Linked DNA regions of Coturnix japonica. The protein of the gene in region 1 purifies or fractionates together with the protein of each later gene. This does not show direct contact. Links are inferred from orthologs where the notes say so. Each region holds a gene or a part of one and is shown on either strand. Other genes may lie near its edges. The genes, in order: ARHGAP12, ASAP1 and TJP2.

What was found.
Region 2: the proteins of ARHGAP12 (region 1) and ASAP1 purify together in Homo sapiens (co-immunoprecipitation; 3 studies listed by BioGRID and IntAct, with this or other methods). This does not show direct contact. The link is inferred for Coturnix japonica from reciprocal best matches to the Homo sapiens genes ARHGAP12 and ASAP1.
Region 3: the proteins of ARHGAP12 (region 1) and TJP2 purify together in Homo sapiens (co-immunoprecipitation; 3 studies listed by BioGRID and IntAct, with this or other methods). This does not show direct contact. The link is inferred for Coturnix japonica from reciprocal best matches to the Homo sapiens genes ARHGAP12 and TJP2.

Annotation. Positions count from the first base shown.
Region 1 is NC_029517.1:12,964,702-12,968,330, forward strand, and holds part of ARHGAP12 (rho GTPase-activating protein 12), read left to right. Parts: intron 1-1,482; coding exon 1,483-1,581; intron 1,582-3,362; coding exon 3,363-3,440; intron 3,441-3,629. UniProt on the Homo sapiens protein: GTPase activator for the Rho-type GTPases by converting them to an inactive GDP-bound state.
Region 2 is NC_029517.1:126,889,207-126,893,463, reverse strand, and holds the start of ASAP1 (arf-GAP with SH3 domain, ANK repeat and PH domain-containing protein 1), read left to right. Parts: upstream 1-1,442; 5' UTR 1,443-1,713; intron 1,714-4,257. UniProt on the Homo sapiens protein: Possesses phosphatidylinositol 4,5-bisphosphate-dependent GTPase-activating protein activity for ARF1 (ADP ribosylation factor 1) and ARF5 and a lesser activity towards ARF6.
Region 3 is NC_029547.1:31,074,959-31,079,358, forward strand, and holds the start of TJP2 (tight junction protein ZO-2), read left to right. Parts: upstream 1-1,529; 5' UTR 1,530-1,534; coding exon 1,535-1,657; intron 1,658-4,400. UniProt on the Homo sapiens protein: Plays a role in tight junctions and adherens junctions. Acts as a positive regulator of RANKL-induced osteoclast differentiation, potentially via mediating downstream transcriptional activity.

The DNA.
Region 1 (3,629 bases):
TTGTTACACAGAAAAACAGGACTGCAAAAGCTACTTTAAAGAGGGAGAAATGAATACAGTTCTCCTATATGTGGAAATGGTTACAGTCAGAAGCAGTTGCAGCAAATAATTGTGTTACATACCAGCATTTTCTTGTCCTATCTAATCTGCGTTGTTCTACCTGCTACAGCTGCTTGCTACTCTGCCTTTCTGCTGCGTGGCCTTTTTCAACCCTTTGCTACTGACTCTGCTTATACAGCTGGCTGTGTGAGTAGGAGCAGCAGGAATGAGATGATCTGGGGCACTGGCCTTTATGCATACAGCTAATAATACGATTATATACCAATTGTCTTATTGTATAATTGGTTTGGTGTGCTGTTTGGATTTCCCAAAGCAGTTTTCAAATGCAGATGTTGTTACTAAACATGACAAACGGGCTAGATGCGATGCATGGTGCAAATGCAAGAGCAGTTTCTCTCTTGCATGAGCTCTGAAGTAAAATGTATTAAATACTGCAAAGATGGTCACTTACATGCTGCCTTTAAAAGATAAAATAAAACTTTCTTCCTTTTGAGTGTGAGCTTTGCTTCTCTATTTCAAGACCCTGTTTCAGTCTCATGCATCCAAACCTGGGATGTCATCTGTTATTTGGGCATACGGTGAAACCATGAGTCTGGGGAGCGTTTCAGTGCTAACATCTGATCTGAACAAGAGGAACTGACATGTTGGTGAAACACACTGAGACTTTACAAGAACATGTTCTCTGCCAAAGCTGATTTTCATTTTTGCTCTGTTTGATGATAGAGAACACCCCCGCTGCCTTTTGTGTCATTTGGAGGCCAAGATGCAAAATATCTGAAAGATGGACATTGTCCATAAGTACTTATGTTTGAATTCCAACCTTGAAGCCATGTTGCCTATTCGCAGTCACTCATGCAATCAGAGCTCTGTGTAATGTTCTATCATTTATGTGGTCATTTCAGAACTTAAACATGTTAGAGATGAAGCTCTATATTGAAGCCTTTCTCTGTAAAGGAATGTGTAATTAAATAAAAGCAGTAGGTGTAATGGAGAATAACTTTTTCTTCTCCCTGGTTGCTTTGGGTTAAAGTTTTTCTGTTCAGATTATTTTTTTCATCAAAGATTATGGTAATTGTATTTTGAACCCCAAAGAGGGATGAGGTACAACAGAACATTTGAATCCATTAGATTTCTCAGTGCAGTAATGGCGGTATGATTCTTCCAAGTTTTCTTCCGATGAATTAAAATGATTTCAGTACCAAAAGTTCCTCCCTCAAAGACTCATGTTTGGGAAACTGCTGACACTTTTTCTTTCTGGGAGAGGCTGAGAACTCTTTTCAGAACTTTCCCCCCCTCACACTCTAATAATGCAACAATTGTATCCTGTACTTCTTGCTCTGTGTAGAGGTTTGTTTTAACCTGAACTAGTTCTGTCACTCGAGTCCTGTTCCACTGTAAATCAGTCTCTTTACTTGGTTCCAGATCAAGTGTTTGGTTCCAATCTCACCAGCTTGTGTCAAAGAGAAAACAGCACGGTGCCAAAGTTCGTGAAGCTGTGCATTGAGCATGTTGAGGAACATGGTATGGTGAATCTTTTGTTTGTCTTTAAATCCCTCTTGCTCATCTCGCTGTCTCGTTTTGAATGCTTTAATCCTTAATGTGCTGTTGATTTGTTAGTGGAAATAATCCAATGTGTGTCTGTAGGTAATGTGTTTTTGGGAGTGGGGAAGGTAGCTGGAACCCAGTGTGGGGAGAGGGAAGTAAGTTTTACATCAGAGGAATTGATCTACTTCACTGTCTTACAAGATGAGAACGCTGAACAGCTTTTTGGCAGAAAGGGTTTAAAGGAGCAGAAATTACAAGGAGTCATAGAAGAGCTTATCTCATCAAAGTTTTACTGCAGGTGAAGAGAGACTCTCAGAAGTTACATGTGACGCTGTGGGCTGTCTGCTACCAAGGACTTAATCACATTTTTTTTTGTTGGAAATTCCTTGGTTGTAATTCCTGTCTTGTGTGTACTGTGGGTTGGGCTTCTTGCTTGTCTCTTGCTGTTGCCATATCAACTGAGAGTGGTCTATGGAATCTCCATAACCGTTGATCAGAAGATGGTCTGTTAATTTGGGAACAAAACTTGAGATCAGGATGTTTACAAGGGAATACTGTAAGTGAATTTTAAGGCATTTTCCATGGGAACTTGTTAGGACTTTTTCCAGCATGTTGTCTTTTTTCTCAGTGCTGTTGCCTTGTGTCCTGGGAAGGGAAAAAATATCTGCTTCCCTTCCACTGCGATACTGTAGGTCGACAAACTGCCATCTTGTTTGTAACAGCAGGCTTTATTCCCATTCAAGGTCCACAGTTTGATAGAGAGGGGCTATTTTTCTTTTTTAAAGTAATTTATATTTTAAGGACAGGACTGCAGTGAAGATGGTGGTGAAGTTGTCCTTTTTTAAACACCTGAGGGGAAGCTGACAGAAATGAGCAGCTTTTTTCCCTACTTCCCCAACTCTTCTTACTTCCAAAACAGAAGAAATCTATTGTTTTTGTAAAAAAATGACTAGTGGATTATGGGGAAAAGGGATATGTCAGATGGTGCTGGTAACTGTGCTGTACTGTATCAGACTACTCCACGAGCTACAAGGACTGAAGGTAATCTGGCAACACTCACCCCCTCAGGGGCACTGACTCATGTGCTGCATTCAAGTGGCATTTCAGTTTAATTCTTTACCTGCTAATCAATTCTGAGTAATTGCAGTAGCGTCCACAGAGACAGCTTTCTTCTTTGCTGCCTGGCTGAGTGTTGCAGTACAGTACTTGCCTTTACAGTAGAGGCAAGGGCTACCCATTTACTTCTAAAGGCTGTTGGATAGTGAGTGTGCAGGCACGATGTTCCTTCTTGAAACCTGGTTACTTGACAACTTTGAGATGCTCTGTTCTGCCTGACTTGATATTTCTTAACCATAAATTAAATAATGGGACATCCACAAAATGCTTGGTTCTTGTATGTTGGATCCTGCATATATCCCTCCGTCCACCCGCTAAAAGCATTTTAAATGGCATCTCCAGTCTCACTGGGAAAACTTGAAGCTGTTACCTCATTTACTACTATTCTTCTCCATAGGAAGCTTTAAAGATTACTTGGAGCTTGATGCTGTAAAACTTTTTGTCAGCAAACAAAACCCTCTCTGATGTGCCCTGCCCATCAAAAAATCTAGTGAAATGTTTATTGCCAAACCAGGTTAGCATAAGATTATGTGGGTTGCTTTGGGTTTCAGTTTTACAGAGTAGACCTGTGAGCAAGGAGCCTGATGATTTCAGAACCTGTATGCATGAAAGATTAAAACTGGTTTATCCCTTTATTTTAGGATTAGATGTTGATGGCTTATACCGAGTTAGTGGTAATCTTGCAGTGATACAGAAGCTAAGATTTGCAGTCAATCATGGTAAGTTTTCATCAACTACATTACCATCACGTAGCTTTTCAGGTTGCTGTGACTTTGAGTTTGTAGAGAACTCATGAGGAAAGATTGCTTAATGTGTAACTGCAGCTTTTCTTGAGAAATGATTGCTATCCTTAAAGTTACCTAAAAACTGTGGAGTTTAGTGCATAAAAGCACACACATGCACACAAA
Region 2 (4,257 bases), about 110 Mb from region 1:
TTTTCGCTATAGTATGAGCTGCCCATGCATGATGGACAACAGAGCATGAGCAGTAAGGCCAGTTTGAACCATCTGATGTGAGGAAATTGGGAGTTAATTCTAATAACTGACTGCAAGCACAGAGAGAAGGTTTAAATAAATATGCTTTAGAGCAGGGACATGCGTTATGTTTGGAAATCCGGGCAGACTCTTTCTGCCGTCTGTGTTTTGTTTCTGAATCCAATGCTATCAAAATGAATAAGCTGTTTGCTCTTTCGACTGCACACCACATGACAGCTAGTTTCCATCCAAAAGCTTTGGCCCTTGCATGTAAATTGATCCTGTAAAGTTAACTCCTTTGTTCAAGAGGTTAAGTATGTGATGTATCAATTGAGCTTTTTGTGTAAAAGCCACAGAGCTATATAATTTCTGAGCCATATGTGTATTGTAGAATAATTTGCAGTAAAGGTATGTGGAGGAGCAAAGATGGATCACAAAAAAAAAAAAAATGCAGGCTCCAGTTCAAGAAAATATCCATTTAGAGCAGAATTTAAGCATATGCTTAACTCCCATTGAAATATGGCTTCTAATCATGTTTCAGGTTAACCATGTGGTTAATGCTGGCCCAGTGGGGAGGGATTTATGCAAATGCTTAAAACCTCTGAACTAGGCAGGGGTTACAAAAAGGCCTCTCAAATCTGCACTGACAAGATTAGGGATCCAAACTCACACCCAGCCTATAGCAGATGTCCCAGAAAAAGCCACCAGGGAAAGAAAAAGTCTGAAGGAAACAGGATCATCAGGAGATATTTCAGAAAGGCCAAACATGCAAGCAGGGTTTGACCCTGTCTGTGAAACACAGAAATTACTCTTCTCCAGGATGAAGCAGCACAGTTAGGAGATGAGGATGCCAGGGGCTTCACCAGCCTGCAGGGAACCTCTTCTTACAGTGCAGGCTAGATGAACGCTGAGAGCATCAGCTGGAACTCTGGAGATCCATTTGTTGTTCTTACTCACATATTGGCCATGACCTTGGGCTACATTCCCTCTGCTGTGTTGCAACACTAGCATCCATCCCAGACACCCATGTGGCAGCGGAGGACCAGGAGATACTCACAGGCATGGAAGACCTCAGAATTCCTTTTTGTAGGTGTAAAAATTCCTCCATCCTGTGTCCTGGTTGCCATCACCATAAATATATCCCAGGGAATACAAAGGGCTTCTATAAAAGTAGCTTTGCAACAATGAAAAACTCAGAATATAAGATGAGAAAAAGGAATCTTCATTGAAGGAAACAGTACTGTCTTTGCATTGTCTTCTTCAGTGAAACTGGTGTTGCCTAGGTAGAATGACGTCTCCTCTGACATCTTAATCCCCACCGCCTACCCTGCTGGCAGTGGGATCATAAGCATCTTTGGCAACAGACAATTGGCATTTTCAAAACATGCTAAATTCTTCCCTTCTGCTGCAGTGCATCTGGACACAGAACATACTGGCAGCCTCGCTCAACATTATCATTTTATTAGAAACTCTTGAAGGAGTATATTTGTCTTATGCCTTCAGATTTTTGTTATTTCTCTCTGGTAGCAAGAACCAACAGCGCTCAAGGTACTTCCCAAAGAAAATAAAGGCACAGCCTCTGCCCTGCAGAACCATCAATCCCCTTAAGATCCTTTGCAGTACTGTGAAATAGGAGAACCAGAAATCTAACACCAACGTTGTGAAAATGTGAAGGTACTTTTAATATTTCTCTTATGTGTGTGTGTGTGTATGTGTGTATGTGTGTTTAATCTTTGTCTCTGTAATAGCGAGGTCTATTTTTCTCACTGTAATCGGGTAGTCTGGGAAAAGCAATGCTTCCCTTGATTTCACTGCCTTAATCCTGCTCATGGTTCAAGGCAGAGCACTGTATCAGCTATAGCACTGAGAACCTATTGTGGTCTTCCTCCTTGGCACCTCTAACACCAGAGCAAAGCCTGGGATCACACTGACTCCAGGACTTGCACTGATTTCAGGAGCATGATCAGGCTCTGGTCTGAACTGAAACAGCACAGCTCCACTGCCTACCCAGAGCCCTGCCACTTTCTCCCAGGTGGAGATCTGGCCCTCAGCCTCCATTAATTATCATTGCAATTCAGGGATGCAGAATATGTTTATCAAAGAGCAGAGAGAGCCTGGTCAGCTGCATGGGCTTACAAAAGGAAAGGTGTTTGCTTATCTCAGCTCCAAGGGGCAGCATCTTGGTGACAGTGAGCACAGGTCTGCCAGGGGCAGGCTGCTCTCACTAATGTTAACTAGAGCTGATGGAAAGAGGCTAGACAGCTCCTCTGAGTCCCACCCTGCCCTATTTTTCTATGATATCTCTTATTTAACCAGGAATCAAGTCTTCCCCATTGGTACGAATTATATCACCTGAGGCCAGGCAGTGTGTTACAGAAGCAGAGGGCTCGGTTCAGGCGCAGCTTTGAGGATGAAGTTCAGTTTCAGGGTCCAGAAACTATGGAGGGTGTTACAAGGAGCTCTGCGAGGAGTAGGGCCATGCATGATGAAGGTAATGGGCAAATTCAGGCCAGCAGAATTTCCCTGTGCATTTTACTGACTGTTTTGGGAGGTTTTGCATGGATTAGGGTAGGATTTATCTGACTGCTGTGCCAAGCCAGCGTTGGTTCACAGAATCCTTTTTATTTTTTAACTGTGTCAGTGTTCCCTAGCTGGCATCTCTCTCCCTGAATCTGCCCAGCCAGTAAGAAGGGAAGATTTATTTCCAGCTTTTGTACTATAGCAGGGGGTGAGGGGAGGCTGCTTTTGTCTGCTTTTAAAGGGACACCCCCTCCTCTTCTTTAATATCCAGGGCTAAAGTAGGCGGGGGATGCTGGCAATTGTCCCTCAGCATGAGGGCACAGATACCAACACAAAGCCCCCCCAGATGCACGTGTGCCTGTCTGATGACTGCTGTGGGAGCTGCCTGCATATTTTAGGAGACAATTAGGCCAAGGCAGTGTCTGCTGCCTATTCACTCTTTGTCTCCACCCTGGGGAGCAGGAGAAATGATTTATGAAGGGAATAGACTTAACGTCTTCTGGCTTTGGTCAGCTGTGGTGTGAAAATAACTTCATTCAAGGCAATTAGTATCAAGCCCTAATTAAAAACAAAAGTGCTGTAGCACCTAGAGCATGGCCTTGGAGTGGGTGGAAAACAGGCAATGGGGAATGGGCAGGAGCACCATCACACAGGTATGTGAGGGGCAAAGGCAGGCAGCCCTCAGCCATGCTCATGTCCTCACAGGGGCTTCTCCAGCAAGAAGAAAGTAGGAAAGCATCCACACTGCTCTGCTGGAGCTGGCAGTGACCTGAAAGGCTGGAAGGAGTCTGGCTGGGGCGGGCTGCTTGTGTGCATCCAGACAGAGCAGGAGGGACTAGTGCTGCTCTTCACAGCAAATCCTCACTAATCCTCCAAAAGCAGAGACAAAAACTAAACAAGGGATGCAGCCTGAGCTTGCTCGGGTGGTTCTGTTCAACTTCTGGCACTTGCCCAAATGGGGCTGGGTAATCCTCCCGCCCTCCTGCAAGGTTTGCCCCAGGAACAGCGATAAGGCCTTTGTGCTGGGCCTCAGGCCCTGCTGCTGCCTGCAGCCCAGCGTGGAGCCCCATATTAGTACTCTCATTAAAAATGTGCTTTTTCTGCCCTTGTGCCTGGCCCTGTGTCAGGTTCTTTTAAAGATGATGATCAAAACGGTTACACAGAGGGTGTTTTGTGGTTGAGACTTCTATTTGGCACTCCAAATCACTGTAACCTCTACCAGGTGTCCTACTGGGAGGAATGGCTGACCCATGCTAATCCCTGCACGCTGCTGGGGACTTTTCTAACAATATAACAATGCTGACAAGTGCCAGCCCTGGGACAATCCCCTGGCAATATGTAATTCATTGGTCAAGATATAGGTTAGATATCTTCAGTGCATTCAGGTGACTACAAGACTTTTGTGATTGAAGTAGCAGCTTTGCAACACTAATGGTTTTGGAGAATAGTGTAAGACTGCTTATCTGGGTAAAGCAGTCCTTGCTTGAGCCAAAGTCACCATGTGCCCTCACCTCCTACATCACCCATTTGCACTGCACATGAAAAATCCCTGTGCATTCACCACACACTAGACCTGAGAATGGGCTGAGCAGGAATCCAGGGCAATCTCAGGCTGCATGCTTTACAAGTTGCTCCATATAGTGGAAAATAAATTATCCCAAATGCTAGGAAAATTTATATCTGAAGTTTGCTTCTTGA
Region 3 (4,400 bases), on another chromosome or scaffold:
TTTTCTTTTAGAGGAGAGAACAGACCAAATCCAAGGAAGAAGAGTTGTCATAAATACTTCAACTTATGATGAATGTTTTCCCATTTTTTTTTTACCACATTTTCCCTGACTGGAAATGGGAATGTTTGTTTCATGTTACCTTTTTAATTGTCAGGGCAGTGAAGAGAACAGGAGAGCAAGGACAGGGATAGAGGCATCTCCAGTACATCTTTATATTTGTTCCTTCTTATTACCACTTTTCTTTAAATAAATAGATGAAAATGTGATTTTAGAAGTTGTGAGTGTGTCTGTTCTGCAGAATGATTATTTTCCTTTAGAGACATTAGTGAAGATTATCCACTGTTTTGACCAGGTTCCAGTGCCAGGTCCTCCAACCATACAGGTGCTCTGGCAGCCCAGCGAGGGCTGCTGAACTGCGCAAACCTGCATGTGATCCAGTTCTGCTGGCTACTGCAAGAAATTGCCAGAGATTGGCAGGATGATAGTTGAAACATAGGGTGTTGAATTCAGTCTTGTGAGGGAAAATCCTTAAACTCCAGGTTTCTCAATTGAATGTTGTTTACCTTCAACAGTTAGAACTATCCATCTTGGGAAGAAATGCAACTTGTGGATGGGCTTTTTCACTTAGCATTGCATACTGACCTGTGTATTGCTATGTGTTCCTGTCTGTTTCACATTTTAAACAGCCTGTGAGACTTGCATGAAGTCTGGGGGAAAACTCTGGTCGAATTTTAAGCTCACATCATTTGTATGGGTTAGATGGAAGTGATAGCTTGACATATTTTCCAGTAAGGTCATCTTTCAGGCTATATGATCAGCTTATTACCAAAATTTTACTTCCTGTGCAATCAAACATCTAACCACTACTCATGGTTATGAGCAAGTTGTTTCTCTTTTTCTTGCTTGCTAGAGTCATATCCCCAGGATATTTTTAAATGTAACTCCTGGAAGTGTTTAAATGTAATTATACATGTGCAGGTGAAGGAATTACTCGCATGCTTACAATTACTTCTGCCTAAGGACTTCCTGGGTCCAGTAGTTAAATTGTTGAGACTTGATAGAGGCTGTTAAACACAGTTTAAAATGTGCAAAATAACGGAGCCAAGTGGTAAATCTTACTATAAAGTGTTATATGTCTGTCAGAGTGTAAATTTCAAGTAAGCATCCTTGTGCTTCTCTGTGCCTTTTTCTTTGAAGTTGCTAGTGCCCTGTTTCTTTAAAGTTTCAGATATGTTCGTGATGGGAGGGAACCAAAATGTGCTTGTAAAAAGAGTAACTTGCTGTGTTTTGATCTGTTTCTGACACTTAAAATAACAACTATTCCTATTATTTTTAAAATCAAGGATGTAGTCTTTTTTTTTTTTCTTTTTTGTTTTCCCTGGGGCCTCTTACAGCGAGAGTTACTGAAACTCTGAGTAGATTTCCCTGCTGTGGTTTTGATGCATTTCTGTGTGAAACGGACGGCAGGATTTGTTCTAGTATGTAGGCCACTATTGTATTAGAATTACATAACCGTGTGGAGTGGTAGAAACAGATGAAAAGACCAGGATGCACGGCGTCCCCGAACAGATCATATCCCGTGACAATGAAGACAGCGCAAGCTCTGCAGAGAATGTGGTCACATGCGGTCAAAAAGTTGAGGATTTTAAGGGGGCACGTGAGTTGCTTTTTGTTGCATCTTGCTCTGGGTCTTTCCTCCCTCCCCTGTGTGGCTTGTGTCTCCTTCCCCCCTCCAGCTCACTTTCACAGCCCAATAACTGTGGTGGCAGGTCTTCTGGAGGTGGTTTTCTGAAAGAAGCTGCCTGAGGCTATCTCTCAGTTGCAAGTAATTGCATAAATCGCGGATGACTGTCAGTGGGAGTTGCTGCTTGTAGCGCACAGATGATTTTAGTACTTTGAATTGTTTCCTGACACGGATTCTGTTAAGCGGTCTGCGTTGGCCATGTAGAAAGTGCCTGCCGTTTTGGTGTTCAGAATTAGGCAGATTTAAGCAAATCCTGACTGCGCTGCTCTCATTAGGAATGGACTGACTTTAGTCACTAGTGAATTCAGACTAGCTAATGACAGTTACTTGTACTTCCTGCAGCAATCCTGCAGCAATGCTGCTGTCTGTGTAAAACCTTGAAAAGCAGTTACTAACAGTAACTGTTGCTGTAACAGTAACACTGCTGTTTCCCCTGTCTTTCTTTCTCCTGTGTTTCTGTGTGTGATCTTGCATTGAAATGGCAATTGTACAAGGGACATCCAGGCTGTTCAGATCCTTTCTTGTTTCCCTAGAGACAAAGAGCGAAGAAATTGGCTGGGGTGATGGGAGTTTTTTGTAACCCATCACTTGATGCAGACAGAGGACAGTCATGTCATTGGGCATGGAATACAGGAATTTTGTTATTCTCGTGGAGACTTTTAATCATAGTTTTATAAGTCCGTGGCTGGTGATTTTTAGCATTTGTAGTCTTTTCCTCCCATTTAGTCTCCCCCAGTAAACTGTCCTTGTTGGTTAGTATCGTGGCAATAGCATACAGCGGTATTTTTTTATAATGTTAAAGGGATTATTGCTGAGAGATTTGAGGGAGTACAGATGTGTTTTTTGCCTTGCAGGCTTCCAAGGTGACCATTCAGTTCTCTGAACTGTGTTGCAGATCCTGAATGGCTTTATCAGTATGGCAGAGCTGGTCCTGCTGTCGTGGTAATTATGTTGCACAAAATCAGCTTTGCAAGTACATAATGTACTTTCCTTCACTAATATGGTATACAGCAACTGGGAGTCAGTTTCCCAAGGACCAGTTTCTGAAAGCGTATTAATTACAAATTTAAAAGTGAATTATTTAAGTGTCTTTTATTTAATAGTTACTAACAGTTCCAGACTAAAAAGCCCCTGGCCTTCCCCTCCTCCACATTTACACAGAACGTGTGTGAAGATCGTAACAGATATTTTAAGGAATATTTTCTGGGCACAGATGAGATGATGCTGTTGTCTTGACATCCTACAGGATCATAACTGTAGTATCTGTAGGCAGTAGTTTCTTTTCCTTTCCTATTGTTTGTTTTTGTGACCAGATATCACAAGACTTGTTTGTCAGAGCAAATAAACTTACCTGTGTTGGGTTTCTACACTTACGTTTGCTACGTGATGCGTCTCTTATCTCATGTGCAAGGTTTTACTCCACAATTCACTAGAGCCATCGTTTTGGTGAAGGAAATTCCTGTAAGCTCAGTTTTTTCCTCCCCACAGATCCTCTCTTAGTCTCTTTACTCTCCTTAGTCTCTTTTCTGCAGCATTGCATTGAACAAGGAGTCATTTCTCAGATGATCCTTTTTGCAGATAGAATATCAGAAGGCTTGATGTTAGGGTTGCTGGAAGAGCAGGGTGTGCGTGCTGCCTTCCGGCCCATAAGGGCAGTCTGCCTGCCTTACTTTTGTAAGTAAGCCAGCCTCAGCAGTGTGTTGGGCTGGTAAGTAGGATTGGTAAGGACTGCAGGCAGTGTAAATTGAATTTAAATAATGTTCTTGCCACATACATAAGTTATTTGGGCTTGTATGCAGTAAGAGAGAGAAAAGATTTTCCATCTACCTGTCCACAAAATCTGAACCCAGCTGCTTGTCCTTTAAATGTTACCAATCATCCTCTTATTTCTAAAATTCTCTTCATTGAAGCCGACTGTAATATAAATGACACAGAGGCCTTTCTTTAGTAGAGACCACAGAGCTTGAAGATACCATATAGAAAAGTAGGATAGAAATGATATAAATTAGTGTCAGTAGTAGCTAAACTATCAGTTTTCATACATGCCAGACAAGCAACCCAAGTAATTTCGTTTCTCACAGCAGCTCAGAATAAAACATGCAGATAAGGAGATTTTTTTCTTTTTTTAGTCTACAGGAGATCTCTGTGTAAGGGAATTTGCGTAGTGAGATGGTTGACTGTCAGCTTGCTGAAAGGTTAGGCATGTAAATTGCTAAAGTGGGAATATCAGAGAAAATAATTTCACCATATGCTTCATCAGACACAGTAACTCTCTGACAATAGACATGGACATTTTAATAGGAAGTTAGAAATGCTGATCATTCTAGACAGGTTTATGAGTACTTACGTTAATTTCAATTTAAGTCATTCTCTGAACAGATCTGCTAAATGTGTTTTCAGTTTGACTCAGAGAGTCCTAGAAACTGGGTAGCATTGTCCATTTTGGAGGAGAAAAGTATTGGTGCACATTTAATGTTGTTTGGTGTTGTGAACTTCCTGATAAGAATGCTGAGTGTCGTGCATCTTCCTGCAGGAACTCTGAGCAGAATTTAAGATTTGTTCCATTTTGTGGTGTTTGAAACTTCCACTGGAAGAATACATTATGGGGTTCTCTGCATTTGAGAAGCAGCATCCATGGCTTGCCAAGTAGCTATTG